Lytechinus pictus: one gene and its partner. The protein of the gene in region 1 binds, or shares a complex with, the protein of each later gene. Links are inferred from orthologs where the notes say so. Each region holds a gene or a part of one and is shown in the gene's direction. Other genes may lie near its edges.

What was found.
Region 2: ral GTPase-activating protein subunit alpha-1-like (region 1) and ral GTPase-activating protein subunit beta-like share a complex: the UniProt entries of both Homo sapiens proteins name them as parts of the heterodimeric RalGAP1 complex. The link is inferred for Lytechinus pictus from reciprocal best matches to the Homo sapiens genes RALGAPA1 and RALGAPB.

Annotation. Positions count from the first base shown.
Region 1 is NC_087251.1:21,744,273-21,752,468, reverse strand, and holds the start of ral GTPase-activating protein subunit alpha-1-like, read left to right. Parts: upstream 1-4,951; 5' UTR 4,952-5,100; coding exon 5,101-5,206; intron 5,207-8,196. UniProt on the Homo sapiens protein: Catalytic subunit of the heterodimeric RalGAP1 complex which acts as a GTPase activator for the Ras-like small GTPases RALA and RALB.
Region 2 is NC_087251.1:38,741,832-38,749,075, reverse strand, and holds the start of ral GTPase-activating protein subunit beta-like, read left to right. Parts: upstream 1-4,105; 5' UTR 4,106-4,262; coding exon 4,263-4,487; intron 4,488-5,258; coding exon 5,259-5,454; intron 5,455-7,244. UniProt on the Homo sapiens protein: Non-catalytic subunit of the heterodimeric RalGAP1 and RalGAP2 complexes which act as GTPase activators for the Ras-like small GTPases RALA and RALB.

The DNA of each region.
Region 1 (8,196 bases):
CGAATCATTTTATGTTTTATTTTCTTTTCATTGCGTACACCAATGCATGTATAAATTAGATAGTGATCACTTAATGCGATTTGAGCAACGTCACTGATTAAATGCTTACCAGGCATTGAACTGAGAATGTGATCTGAACATTTCGATGAGGTACTGGTAACTCTTGTTGGTTTTAAAATCATTTGTCTTAAAGAAAAAAGGTTTTCTGGCAGATTAACTGGGTTGTCACACAAATTTTCATCAGCTTTCAGCTTTGAAGAAGATGCTATACAGTATTTCCTTGAAAATATACATAAAAGGAAATTGTTTAGGATACCTAAAATGCGAGCGAGTGTAGCTAGCGCTTAAAGCCTTTCACTTTTATCTACTTTTAAGCATAGGCGGCGGAAGCGGGGGGGGGGGGGGGGGGACGGGGACGTGTCCCCCTAAAATTTGTTGTTGCCGCCAATGCTTTTAGGGATGGCTAGTTTGCAATTTACTTGTCTTTACTATTTTGAAAATTATCGGCGCCGATAAAGTCCCAGGCTGTCAGGCAGCGCCGAATTTTCTTGACCAGTGCCGACTTAGACTTAGGTGGCGCTGATTTTTTTTAAATTAGTATTAACCAGCGAATGTTTAGTACCCGAAAAGAGAGAGAGTAATGGACAATGAGAATAGATAAAGAAGATTCGCTTCTCCTTTTTAAATTTTGTTTTAGCGGCGCCAAGGCGGAGTGGAAAAAAAGAGTAATTGGGCGCGCTTTATTCCTCGCCACTGATATATTTGAATGGCATATTATAAAAATTTTCAATTTGTCAAAATTATTGGGAGCGAATCGATATGTTTGCCTCCCCATATTATAGTTTGGGCGGTTGCCTCTGCCCACCCTCCCCCCTTCGGCCTTTAGCGACGCTCATGAAGTAGTCCGAAATAGGGGTTCCCATACACCATCATGATATATATTTTTTAACCAACCTTTTTATATTGCCTGAAGTGTCGAGTTAATGAATCTTGGTGACTCCAGTAGGGTTCGCTGTGCCAGCACTTCTTTATAATTATGTAGCTGATAAAAAAAACTGTTGAAAAAACCTACTCTTTCGCCTTTAAGTGGTTTTAAAGGACGAGTCCATCCCCAACATCATGTAAAATTGAATAAAAAGAGAAAAATCAAACAAGCGTTACACAAACAATTTCATCGAAATCGGATCTAAAATAAGGAAGTTATGACATTTGAAAGTTTTGCTTAATTTCACAAAACAGTTTAATGCACATCTTGGTCGGTATGCAAATGAGGGGACTGATGACATCACTCACTATTTCTTGTATTTCACTTCATGGACATGATGGAATATGGAATATTTGAAATTTGTCCTCATTGTCATGTGAAACAAAGTTTTATTCTTTCCCGAACATGTGGATCTACCATTGTTTCACCATTTTGTGGTTCAGTCAAGTTGGTCTTTGTTGTCAAATCTGTGAAAATTGAAATATTGTATAATTCAACCTCTAAAAAAAATAGTGAGTGAGGGACATCATCGACTCTCTCATTTGCATACCACTGATTTGTGCATATAACTGTTGGTGAAAAATAAGCGAAACTTTAAAATGCTGTCACTTTCTTATTTTACATCCGATTTTTGATAGAGAAAATTCTACTTTTTCGTTTCCAAGTGGTTACAAAACAACGAAAGTGGCTTTACTGCTCCAAAATGGCGAATTTCCAAGAAATGGGCAAAATACGATAAAGGGATGGGGTAACTTCGGCAGCTCCCTGAGGGAGTATAGGCTTTGCTGTGTCAGCTAGTCTGAAGCTGATAGAAAAAGCCTACTTTCCCGTCTCCAAGTGATTTCAAGAAAGTAAAAGAGGTTTTTTACATAGCCGAAATATTTATTTATTTATTTATTTAAATATATTTAACCAGGGTAGCCCACTCAGCAATAAACTGGTCTTCCGTAAGGCCCTGGAATGCATGATAAAAGCAAGTATAAAACATTTAAATACATATGAAGTATACACAAAAATATTCTAAATAACTTAACTCATATCATAACAGAAAACAGAGTAGCAAACATACGACATCGTTAAAAACATGATACTAATTTAAAAAAATTACACACAAAGCAGTACATATAAATAAACTAAAGTAGATAGACATAAAAAGTTGATTTCAAATTTAAAAGGCAATAATAAAACTTGAATTTAAAAAGATGCACTTTAAGTTTCTGTTTAAAGATTGATAGAGATTTTGACTGTTTTAAATTAAATGGCAAGATGTTACAAAAAGTAAAATCGCTGAGTAAGATAAAAAGTGTTAAAACATTTCGGTATGAGTTTTTTGCGTGATCAAAATTATCTTTAGCTGAATATTTAGTGTTAAATCAATGAGAGTCACTTGCAAAAGTAAACACATTATACAATAGAATTTCGATGACAGACCATTGATACATACATAAAAAATGCACTTAAAATAGGTAACGCGATCGTTGAAGGGGAGCCATTTGAGTTCATGAAACCTTTATTTTGAGGGGGTATAAAAAATTACATTTTTTGATTATACGATCTGTGTGCATATTGAAACGCAACCCCCAGATTTCACAGCAATAATCAAGGTGGGATTGACTAAACATAGGTATAGAGTCCTCAGGGTATTTTGGTCAACATAAGGGCTAACCCTTTTTAGCATACCTAGGCTGGCATACACCTTTTTACATACATTATCAACTTGGTATGACCAAGATAGGTGTTGATCAATTATGACTCCAAGACATTTTATCGTTGTACATCGTTCTATAACATCTTTTAAACACATGAAGCACTTTTTGTAGTCATTATAATCATGATTAACATACGCATCTCGCTAATCAAATATTGCGAGCGCGAAGCGCAAGCTGAAAAATTAGGAAATTCAGATCTGAAGAGGGGCATCTTAAGGCTTGTTTGTAGGAATTTACGAAGATCATACGTATTTAACTATCCAAATGATGCAAGCACGAAGCGCGAGCTGAAATTTTTGTATATATAGACCCCAGGCCGAACTGGGACATTTAAGGACTATTTTTTAGGAATCCATTAAGAGTATACATATCTCTCCATAGTCATCTAATGCGAGTGCCAATGCCATTATATATCTCCTTAAACAGAGAATGCGAGCACCAAGAACGATGAACACATAGGCCCTGATAAAATTATGTTTCATAAAGTTATGAAAAAAAGATTTCTTATGTAATATAACATAATATACATAATGTGATATTATATATAATATAATAGTATAATATAATATAACATAACATAGCACAATACGATATGATATAACAAATATAATATAATATGATATAATATAATATAATATAATATAATATAATATAATATAATATAATATAATATAATATAATATAATATAATATAATATAATATAATATAATATAATATAATATAATATAATATAATATAATATAAGATAAGATAAGATGATATGATATGATATGATATGATATGATATAATATAATATAATATAATATAATATAATATAATATAATATAATATAATATATTATAATATAATATAATATAATATAATATAATATAATATAATATTATATAATATAATATAATATAATATAATATAATATAATATAATATAATATAATATAATATAATATAATATAATATAATATGACATATTATAATATACAATAATTTATTCTTTCCCCACTATGTTTCTCTTCCTTTCTCCGTCTTTTTCTCCTTTTCCGCCGTTTTTTTGCCAGCCAGTGGGGGGGGGGGGGCGTGCCCCCCGTGCCCCCCTCGTTGTTACGCCACAGATTAGTGTGACTAAGGGGGTGTTGCAAGAAAATATTTGCAATTAATTGCAAATATTCTGTTGCAATTTTACAATTGATAGATCAAGTTTACCTGCAGAAAATCAGATTACACTCCTTGTCTCAAGGAGCAGATTAACGATCAATCATGAATTTACATTCAATTGCAAGACTTATGAATCATTTAGCGACTGAAAATAGACTTGCAGTTGATCGCAAGATTCTTGCAATGCCCCATAAGACACAGAGGTTGCTTTTTGGTGTCATTTTATCGCAATATCGAGTAATACATTTGGAAGTATCTGCCCTTTATCTAAGCAAATTAAGACATTAATACTGCCATGAAGCATATCATTATTCTCGTTAACATATCCTCTTTCGTGTCGAATGCTGATATTTTGTATAAATTGTTGATCTTTAAGATAAAAACACTTTTATTAATGCACACATTTTTACCGAAGCATGAAAATTTGGGCCTAAATTCTCATTTTTTTCAAATATTATTAATGGACTATCCAGAAAAAGATTGCAATCGATTTCTACTTTCTAAACCATAATTAAAAGCGTATTTTCCTATTATCTGTGCAATACTAGATGAAAATTAATGATTTTCCGGTGATTTTCATGAAAAAAAATGCGAGATGGCCGCCAAAATTGCCAATTTTGAACCCCCTGGAACACGATTTGGCAAAGGGAACATCAAAATTCATTAACTGGACATTTCAGGCAATACCAAAAGGATGGTTAGAGAAATATATCAAGATGGGGATGGGACCCGCTATTTCCGATTCAACTAAAGGCACGGCAATTTGCAGCAAAGTCTATGCCAACTAATTGTATTAATTTTCTGTGGTCTATGCCACCGAATTCTATAAACTGTCTCCTAGGTTCAGTCTTGTGAACAGGTGACAGTGTCACATGATCATAACTTTTCTTTCATTCATTTTTGTCATTGTTTTTTAGAAGAATTATCTTGTCTTAATCATCAATTTTTTATCTAAAACAAAAATAATTAAACTTTATTTTAATTACTATATATAAATTTGCCTATAAAATGGAACAAAATTTTATTTTGACTGTCTTATAAGTGAATAAGTTTGAGAATTAAGATTGCCAATTTGAAGATGACGATAATCGTACTGATTTCTGAGCATGCGCAAACGAAAATCCCTTGACCTTAGATAGCTAGCGATCGGAGCTGTATTGTGGTCTTGAACGACGAATGAAATTGAGATGAGAATGGGATCAATTTTCTGTAGTTTTCGTCTTCTTTATTGTGCTATTACCAATTGATAAGACATGTTCAGTAAAAAATCACACGGAGACTTTAAGAAATCTGGTCAGAAGGTGCTGGATTTAAAGAAAGATGTGCTCTCTCGGCTCAGACACCTGCGAGTCGTGATTGGTAGGCGAATCGGTTCAGCTCATTTTCCTATTTCCTAACGTTAGAAATACCGGGGTAGAATGCTATGCAGCTATGGCTACTATAACTATACTAGCTATGTTCTGTATGTTGTTTGTGAACTTGTTTTTAGTTATCAATGTCGGTGATTAATGTTTTAATGTTTCTTCATAGAAGAGTTAGACTTCGACTTTTTCCTAATAAAATGCTAAGCCGGCTAAGGATCGATGATGTTATTGTTGTTAATTGCCATAACTTGCCATAAATTAATCGGCATAAATAAGTTCATAAGTCATAACAACATTGTTAATGTTATGGCAATTTCCCCCAAGTCTGCGCAGTCCCCCTTGTCTGCGACTGCGCACACGCGTATCTGCGCGATTCTAAGAATCTAACGTTAGTTTTCTACTTTTAATCTAAGTTCTAGTATAAGAAGATATGCAACAAACACAAACTTTACACACGCAATACATGAACAGATATTCATTAAAAAATCTGACTCAATGGTGGAAATTTTTTTTGGGGGGGCATTCCATGTGACGGCCTCAAAATGCAGCCTTTCTCATCAAAATCCCTGAATCGTGTGCAAAGTAAATGGGTGTGCAGACATGGGGTACCATTTTTTTTCAATCTGAAAATGAGTGCCCAAGGTTTTTTTTCCAAGAAAATCCTATATTTCTTTCAAATCTTTATGAGATATTTTGTACACTTATAATGATATAAGGAACATTATTGTCTGAAAGATTTTGTGAAATGAAGAGAAATTCATGTTAAATCTTTACTTGAATTGTTAGTGCGCAGACTTGGGGACCACCATCATATATGAATGGGCCTTTAGCTTTTTTGCCTTGCATGGAGTTGGCACAGTCTGACATAGACCAAAAGCTTCGGTCTCTGTTATGTTGGTTGTTCAGCTGAACTCCGTTGGCTTCACTCACCAAATACAGAGACCGAAGTTCTAGCGCGATCTGTACAGGGGACTCAATGGCCATATGTTTATGTACTTAAGATCGGATAAAACGGGGAAGTGAATTTGCGCGACAGCCGAGGTAAGTCACTGTTTTTGTTCCTTTTAACTTGATTTTTCTCCGTTTTTTGGCAATTGATGCCAAGAGGGAATATTAATTTGCATTTTGGTCGCGTGACTTTTCAAAATTTTTACTCATTAAAGACAAAAATTGAAGAGCCCCGACGGGGGGATTTTGCATTGCAAGTCCCCTAATGGTGGCTGCACGCTAGCGAGCCGTCTGTGTATGAGGAGAAATTTAAAAAAAAATAAAATGTTAAAAAACTCCTCGAAACAGACGGCTGCCAGCTGTCTAAGTCTGACACAGACAGCTGGCAGCCGTCTGTTTCAAGGAGTTTTTTAACATTTTTTTTAATTTTTAATTTCTCCTCGTACACAGACAGCTCGCTATCGTGCAGCCACCATTAGAGCGTTAACAATGCAAAATCCCCCCGACAGGGCTCATTGATTTTTGTCTTTATTTCATAAAAATCTTTTAAAAAAATTGTACCAAAATAAAGATTATTCCGTTTTGGCCTATCCTGGGGAAAGATTTTTAAATAAATAAATGAATAAAAATTCTTCCTAAAATATCTTAAACAATGATATTTGCAGATGACAAGGTATACATTTGAAATAAAATAGTATGAAAGATAAGCCTGTGTCAAATTGATTTTAAAATCGGCGTTTGATCAATGTCATCGAGTGCCGGTGCAGATTTTGCAAAATTGGTGCAAATATAAAAAATAAAAAAATGACTGTGTGAACTCTACTACCTTTCCATTTGGTACACACATAACTCGTATTACATAAACTTTTCTTACAATCGCTATATCAGCATAGAATACCAATTCAAGTGACCATCCAGAGAAAATTACTTACAATGTTTATTCCCATTAACTCATTTTGGATCCAACTACATCTCAGACAAGGTTAATGCTCTCCGCTAGTATAGCACTTGTTGGCCGGCAAGCATACTTGTCGTTTCTGGAGAGTGAGTGTACAGGGCTGCGTACGGGGCTGTGTAGTATGTGAGAGTTGACTGAGAATCGTATTGACTCTTCGTGATTCATGTCTTTCATTTCAAACGTACCGTATATGTTGTCATAGATCTATAAATATCATTATTTTAGATATTTTAGGAAGAATTCTGCATTGGTCCGTTTTTTTGTGATCATGGAAATTACAAACAAACTTTGCTCTGTCACCTGCTTGTGCAGCGCTTACCCCACTCAGCGCATATCGTTGCAGTGCATGTATCGACGGAGCAAAAAATTGACTTGATTTTCCCGCCTTCAAAACTTGATGCCTCAATGTTCAATCGAATTAAAGCTGTCGAACTCTGGTTTGCAAAATAATCAATGTGACTCAGGCTTATATTTAAAAGACATGAATCACACAGTGTTGATCCGAATGGTTTTTGGTCAACTCAGTCACAGACACACAAACGGTACAGTGCCTCGTACCCTCGCTCTCCTTAAACGACTGCATGCTTTCTGGCCAACAAGTGCTATACTAGCAGAGAGCACATAACTTGCCGGAGATGAAGTTTGATCCAAAATCAGCTCTTAATTGATGGGAATAAGTATCATACGTTATTATACCCTCGCCAAACAAAGTTTAAAGGGGTACATGTAGGAATCAGTGTATGGTCAGGCGGTCCGTTGCAAATATTGCGCATCGAAATACTTCCTCAGTTTTTAACCAATTCTCATGAAACTTGTCACACATACATGTATTGGTGTTGGGGTAAAGATGTGCAAGACATATTTTTCGTATGTGTCGGAATTATGTTGCCATGGTAACGGGATGTTATGGCAAAAATAAGGTAAAAATCTTATAGTTCAAACTACTTTGAAACTACTACGTTGAAAATTGGATGGAAATCTTGCAGTTTGAATTACTTCCTCAATTAACAATAATATTAATATAGGTATATTTACCCAGGGAAGCCACTTCAGTTCTGAAAACTGTTCTCCCGGCGGGC
Region 2 (7,244 bases), about 17 Mb from region 1:
ATTTCCTTTGGTGGCAGCTTCCGGAGGAGACGACTCTTGTACCCTGAGGTCATTCTTATCTTCTCCTACAGAGAGCTGCCTTACTTCGTTTCTCAGCCTAGGGCCATGCTTCTGCATGGTCTTCTGGGTAAACTGAAACCATTTGTACTTGGTCATGGCTTCATCTAATGTCCCAGGCCGAGAAGTCAGGACATGATGCCCTGCATCTTTGTCTTGGGCACCTTGGCAGAACCTTGCCACTACAAGTTCTTGGACGAACTTGTCAGGTAGGCCTACGAAGGCCTGACCTGCAAGGGTCATAAGCCTATCTGCCCACTTGATGATGTCTTCATCCGAGCGTTGAAAAGCCGATTGAAATTGCATCCGAGTAACTTCCGGCTCCTCCTGGAGAGCGAACCGCTTCTCCAACTTGGTAACCAAGTCAGAGAAGGCGATATTTGGATTGCTCTCCTGGATGAGGGCCATGAACTTACTGGCTTCGGCCTCCAACGCCAGACACAGCTGATATTTCTTGTCTGCATCAGACATGCCATGTCTTTCGGTGTAAAGTTGGAACTTCGAATAGAAGGCCGCCCAACTTCCTTTGCCGTCGAACGAAATGGTCTTCGGCAAAGAGGTTGGTCTAGAAGGGGGCCTTCTGTCGTCATACTCTGGTACCACAGGTCTTGAGGCCGAAGAAAGTCTGGTGACGCGGGGCGGCTGATTTCTTGTTGGCAGCCCCAAGTATCCAGGACTTACTGATGGCCTTGTGGTATTTCTATGTTCACTGTATACTGGGCCTCCATGTCCATCTCCTTGAGGTCCAGCGCCTTGATACACAGGGTTGCTACCCCCATATTGCAAGTCACATGGTCCTTGGGGAGAGGTTTGCGGGGCCACAGTGTTAGGATAGTGTGGCGGATATCTGCCTCCAGCCCATGGTGGGCAATACCCACCGTAGGCGGCAGCAGGGTTGCAGTATGGAGGAGCTGGCTGTCCAGTTCCTCCGAATGGCATCATCTGCATCATCCTAAACATCACGCCATACATTTCCTCGTACTGTGCTTGTGTAAAGTGTGGAACGGCCTGTGGATAGCTATGTGGAGGTGTCTGGGTTGTTTGATTGAACATTGCTGGTCGGCCACCCTGAGTACCGGGAGCCTGACCATGCAAATCTACTTGGGCATGAGGACCAAATTGGAACTGGGGTCCTGGTGGGGTAGCTACCTGGGCACGAGGACCACATTGGAACTGGGGTCCTGGTGGGGTAACTTGGTGGGGACCCTGTGGTGGGAACAGGCCATCGTTCCATCCTAAAAATCCAAATTGGTTAGCCCAGAGGGACTTAGCCCTATCTTCTGGAGAGGCCGAAGGCTGCTGAGTACAAGCGCCACCTGGCCTCCCCCCTGTGAAAAATAAGGGGGCCTCCCCGTCCTGTGTCTGAGAAGACTGGCCTACAGCACCCCGAGTGCTATGTGCACGGGTGTGCTGTGGCCAAGCCTCAAACGCCTGGCTCACGGGGGGCTCCTTTGATGGTATCAGTGGAACGCTCGTAGAAGGCTCGTCTACTTCGGAGCGCACTTCTCTGCGGTCCACATTATGAGCCGTTGTTGTTGGCTCATAGTCAAAGGCGTAAACTAATAGTTCCGCCTTCGGTATGTGAGGTATTGACAAGAATGTATCCGGAGTAATGTCGGCCGCCTCCCTCGCGTGTAGAATGCGGTTGGCGGTGGCCATACCCACTCCGGGCAGACTCATCAATTCCTCAGACGAACAAAAGTTGATTTTGATTCTTGGTATGTTGCTCGCCATCTTGATGTAGAAATTAATCAGTAACAAAAATTAAATTCCAAAATTGAACTGTAATCAACCAAAAATTATCCTGCAGACTACTTTGTCTTGCGGATAAAATCAAAATAAATCTGGGACAAAATTAACTTTTTGAAAAAAAAAATGAAAGAGAATTAACAGAACTAACCTCACAATATCCTGAGGATGTTATTAAATTAAAATCCAGAGGCTACCTTTGCCTAAAAATAAAATTCCTGTATGATTTAATTCTTAGGAAAGAAAAGAAAAAATGCAAACAATCGAACGCTCACTTGTTCAAATTCAAAGAAAGATATGAAAAATATATAGAAATAATTTCAAATAAATAAATTCTTATTATTTATTTATTTTTTTTCTGTTTTTTGAACAAAAGTTAATATTTACAAGTACAATTTATCTAAATATATACAAAATTTATTTAATTATACAATTTATAATTAATTGATTGAATATGAATTTAATACAAATGTCAGCAGCACAGCTCACAGCATTCACTCAACGGCAGCAGCAGCAACAAAATATATTATACAACAGCAGCAGCAACAATTCAATTACACAACGGCAGCAGCAATAAACAACAAAATATTCAATACAGCAGCAGCAGCAACAATACAACAGCACAGCAACAGCAGCAAAATATTCAATACAGCAGCAGCAGCAACAACAAAATAATTAATACAAGACTGAATTTCCTTATCTCCTGAGACGCGTGACCAAAAATAATAAATTCCTAACAATTAACAGCAGCAGCAGCAAATTTCTGGTGTTTTCTCCAAAAAACACCCAGAAATATAATTACAAAAAAATACTAACAACAGCAGCAGCAGCGCGGCGGTCAAAGGAGAAAAGCAAATTCAGGCTTGTAATAAAATAATCAACTCACAACATCAATAATATTCAGCAATACATTCACACCACATACGGTAAACACAGTCAAACGCAATCAAAATTTCATCAAAGTCAATCACACTCGGTGGCCACAAAAATATATCCTAACGAGGGAACAGCTAAATATATGGTCAACAAAATGAGTGGATATTTACCCTAAATAGTACAACGTATAATGTTTTGTCCAAAAAAATCCGATTAGCTCCTGTCGAGCTAGCCGCTGAATTCCTTCAAGGCCAGCACGGCAGTGCCGATCGGTAAAAAAATAGAGTATATTTACGGAACTAAAAATCAAACTTTTTCCACCAAAAAATGAAATCTCAAACTAAAATAATATGTTACTTTTTGTTTTATTTAATATTATGGACAAAACAGAGTCAAACAGCTCAAATTAATAAAAAGCCTAAAATTTTCAAGATGGCGGCGGCTTTTTTATATTCGGCCACGGCCAACGCAGATTCTGCAACGGCGTTGGCTGTGGCGAAGTAAAGAAAATGTTTTGCCGAAAATAAAATAAAAATCGCTTTAATCCTCGTCGCCAGTAAAGCGGGGGGCCGATAACATAAATAATAATACACTCGCTATACACATATAAACTTCACACCGGGAGAAAGCCTTACCTTATTCTTGTTATGCACAGCTCTCAGGACGTCTGTACCTCTCGGGGGTTGAGTATGGAGTGATGTGGTTGAGTGGCGTGTGTAGAATACCGGTATGTGTGTGTTGTAAAGCTGAATGCGGGTCTTGTGTTACGGTTCGTCCCGCCGGTGGGTCATGTGATGTTGTGTGCTTAATTACTACTAATCCCCTAACACCATACCCCTATAGTATTGGAGAGAGTCTCCCATATTGGCCGTGCGCCTCTACTCACTACTGACGAACATCGCCCGAGCCCGAGGTATACTACTATACCTTTCTTCCCTTTTGATACTCCTTTCGCTTTTTCTTTTTCTCCTTTTTTTTCTTTTTGGGAGCGTTTTGGGGGGCGACCGCCCCCCCCCCCCCCCCCCCCCGCTACGCGCCTGCTTGAGGAAGTTGAGGTACCGGTACTTGAGACGAGCCTGAGCTGAGCCCCAGCTCACCTCCGCGAGCAGCGCGCCGCCGCCGAATTAGGCCTAGTCGGCGACGGAGTTACCCAACACAAACATGCAGGACATGGGACTACGGAAATCAAAAAGTCGACAGGTCAGCAGTATACTTACGTCCTTTCTGCGCTTTCCCCTTTCTTCACCTATCATTCTCTTTTCCTCCTCCGACATCTCTGGGATAAACATCAATGTCCTGAGCATGAAAAATACCGCAACGCATAAAGTAAGAGTAAGAACGCATCTTTTCGCCCGGAACCTCATTTTTTCCTGGCTCTTCTCTCAATTTTTCTTTTCGATTGATCTCAAATCGCTAGCGCCGCAGAGGGCGTGAATTGTGAAATGCAAAACAACACCGAGTGAACCAAAACAAGGACTAAAGAATGACAGTTTTGAAAAAGTTTATTATGGTATTGTGTGAAATACTTTGATTTATTCACATTTCTAGCTTCTTGAGTCTGTATTTAATAACATTAGAAGATGTATTCTGGATGGGCTTCTTTGCAAGAGGCGATCGAAACGGACCAAAGCAATCACAGTGTTCTCCATACGTTTCCTGAAACTGTGGGGAGAGATGTGGCCGTGTCGGTGGTGAAGCAGTTGGCCGCAAGTACGGCGTCGCTGGCAGCTCTCCAGCAGAGAGGGGATGGGTCTGCTGCATGTAATCCACTTGAATCAGAGAAACAAGTAGAGTGGACAATGGAGGTAATTATAGGCATGATAGGAAAGCTGGCACTGTTAACCCTTTGTACGCTATATCTTCGTTTAACAATTAAAAAGTGATCTAATTTTAATTTTAATTAGGGCCTAGATCTAGTTTTTTATCTCCAAAATGGTCATTCATCAATCATTAATCATGATTCATGTCATTCATGACAGAATTGCAGATAAAAAAAGCTGCCATCAATGACATTGACAATAGAATACAGTGTGTCAATAAATGATAATGATAGTGATACAAGACATTTATACTAAGGCCTAGTGGACTTGATATGGGTGTTTCTAAATCTAAGCATGATGTATTCTGCTTAATACAAGTTACACATTGGGACAAAATGAAATTGGTGTTTAAAATTAAAGGATCTGGATGTATACAATGCAGGGCCCTCCTTCGAGTCCTTGGCATAAACGCATCGGGTGAGATCTATTCTAGATCTATAAAACAACAGTCAAAGACAAAGCTGATGTATGCCTAAAGGCTTTAATTGACCAACACGCTTGATAATTGTTTTGATCAGTTCAACACCTGTTTTCATTCAATTTCAATATCCTTGTTGGAACAGACATATTTTTTCTGAATTCTGTACTTTTGCAATAGTAGTGTAAGAGAGAAATAATGAGCAAAATTGAGATGATTTCCATGGCAATAAAACTGCAAATGATTAGAATATCATGGCGATAATCATAATTGACATACTATGGGTGGTGCATTATGATTAAAAAATCACATTTGATTCATACTTTTTATTTTACCAGGTGATTTGCTATGGGCTGAGCCTCCCCTTGAACGAACATGAAGCAATTCGAGATTGTGTGAGTGTATACTGTGAATGGCTAAAAGCATTGACCATACCCCAGCCCAGCTTACCCACACCACTGAGCAAAGATCCAAATCCATACATTCAGAGGATCTTTCAGCATCTTGTCAACCTATTCAAACCTAGAAAACAAGGTAAAGTACCAAGAATATTTGGTGTTTTCAAGTTCACTGTTAGTTCTGGTATTGATGTTAAGGTCTATTTGTTTGCCTTTCATAGCTCCAAAACCTGATCAGAGAATAAAAATGGTCAAAATCACATTATTGATAACTCAACACCAAGTGAGGCATATTCGAAGATCAGTCTTATTTTTAGGTTTGTGCTTTGATCATATAAAGAGTAGCCCATCACCAACACCAAAAGCTCAACACTGAACTTGAAATCTCCCATTGTAATTATCTCCCAATACCCAATCTACACTTGTTTGATAATACTATTCATAAGGTGAATTGATGAATAACTGGAACATATGCTTGAGAGCTAAACCCATCTGCATCTGTGGAAATAAGGTGTTTATTAACCAAATTCTTGTTATAAACAATAATTTCAATGAAAATTTTATCACATTTCACAATCTTATTCAGAGTTATCAAAATAGAGGCTGTGGAGCATTTACTTATATCTGTATGTTTCCTCTTCAAATATATGTCCACATCACCTTTGTTTCTTAAGGTCTGTCTCATTGTTTGGTGCAAGCATTGCGGGTGAGTTGCGGGCAATCACCCGCAACGCTTGCACGGAACAATGAGACAAAGTTTTGAGCATGTTCAAAACTTTTCTGCATGCAAATCAGACATGCTTCCACTTGTGCAGGCAACTGCTTGTGAGATATGTGCGAGTGTCACATGGGAACAATTAAATAAAAACAATATTCACATCAGCCATGCCTTTAAATCAGATTCTTTATTTCCAAAGCATACTATGCTATATCTCTCTCCAAATAACAATTTTCTTCAAACAATTTCTACGCTGCACAACCGTAACTGCCACTAAGGCTAACAAGCACAAAACAGATCCTTCACTGACCTGATCGTGATCTTTCTAAACCTCTTAATCCAATACCAACTCATTTATTTGATATCTAATAACCATCTAACATCGGTATTCAATTCCACTATTAATTACATTCTATTCTGAACCATTTCTGATAATCAAAGGAAAATATGCGCATATAATAATTGTTCAAAGGATCCATTCACGCTCACTGTCTCAATTTCATACTTCACCACTTTGTTCCGTCTTTGACGAAAAGGTCATACTCCGGAGAATCAAACAATCTAACGACAAAGTCCTTCTATCGCCAACCTCGCTAAACAGTACTCCATGCTTCTCCGCCATGTACGTTGAAGTTTAGGATTGGATGGGGATGCATCACGCCCCAGACTACGTGCCATCTAAAATTAAACAACGGCCAGAAAAACACTCTACTATATGGTTCAGGTTCTATGAATAGTTATTCATAATTAAAGCATTAAAGCATCTTACTAAATAATTAATAAATAATTCAGCATCTATGACATCCTTCCATACTCGATTCAAGGTCCAGCGACTCCCTATGAATATACAATCTCTTGAAATGCTGATATAAATGAGTTTTCTAAAAGTTCAATAAGGATAAAGTTCAAACAATCCTATTAGGGGCTTACTCAAATTACTTTATGAATAGGTCAGAAAGAATCATCCATTTACTCTAATAAAATATCCTTTATCATAAATCAGTATTGTTTCTTTCACATACTTTATGATTTGTTACTTTCAAAACATACAAAAGCTCTAAAGTCAACTCACCAGTGGTGCTGAATTAACTATGCTTGTTCAGAGTTATTGATGAATATCCCCTGTTAAAAACGGGTTCTTCTCCTAATCTCAAACTTGAGAACTTTTTTATAAGAAGATAGACAAAACTAGAGAAAATAATGAAATT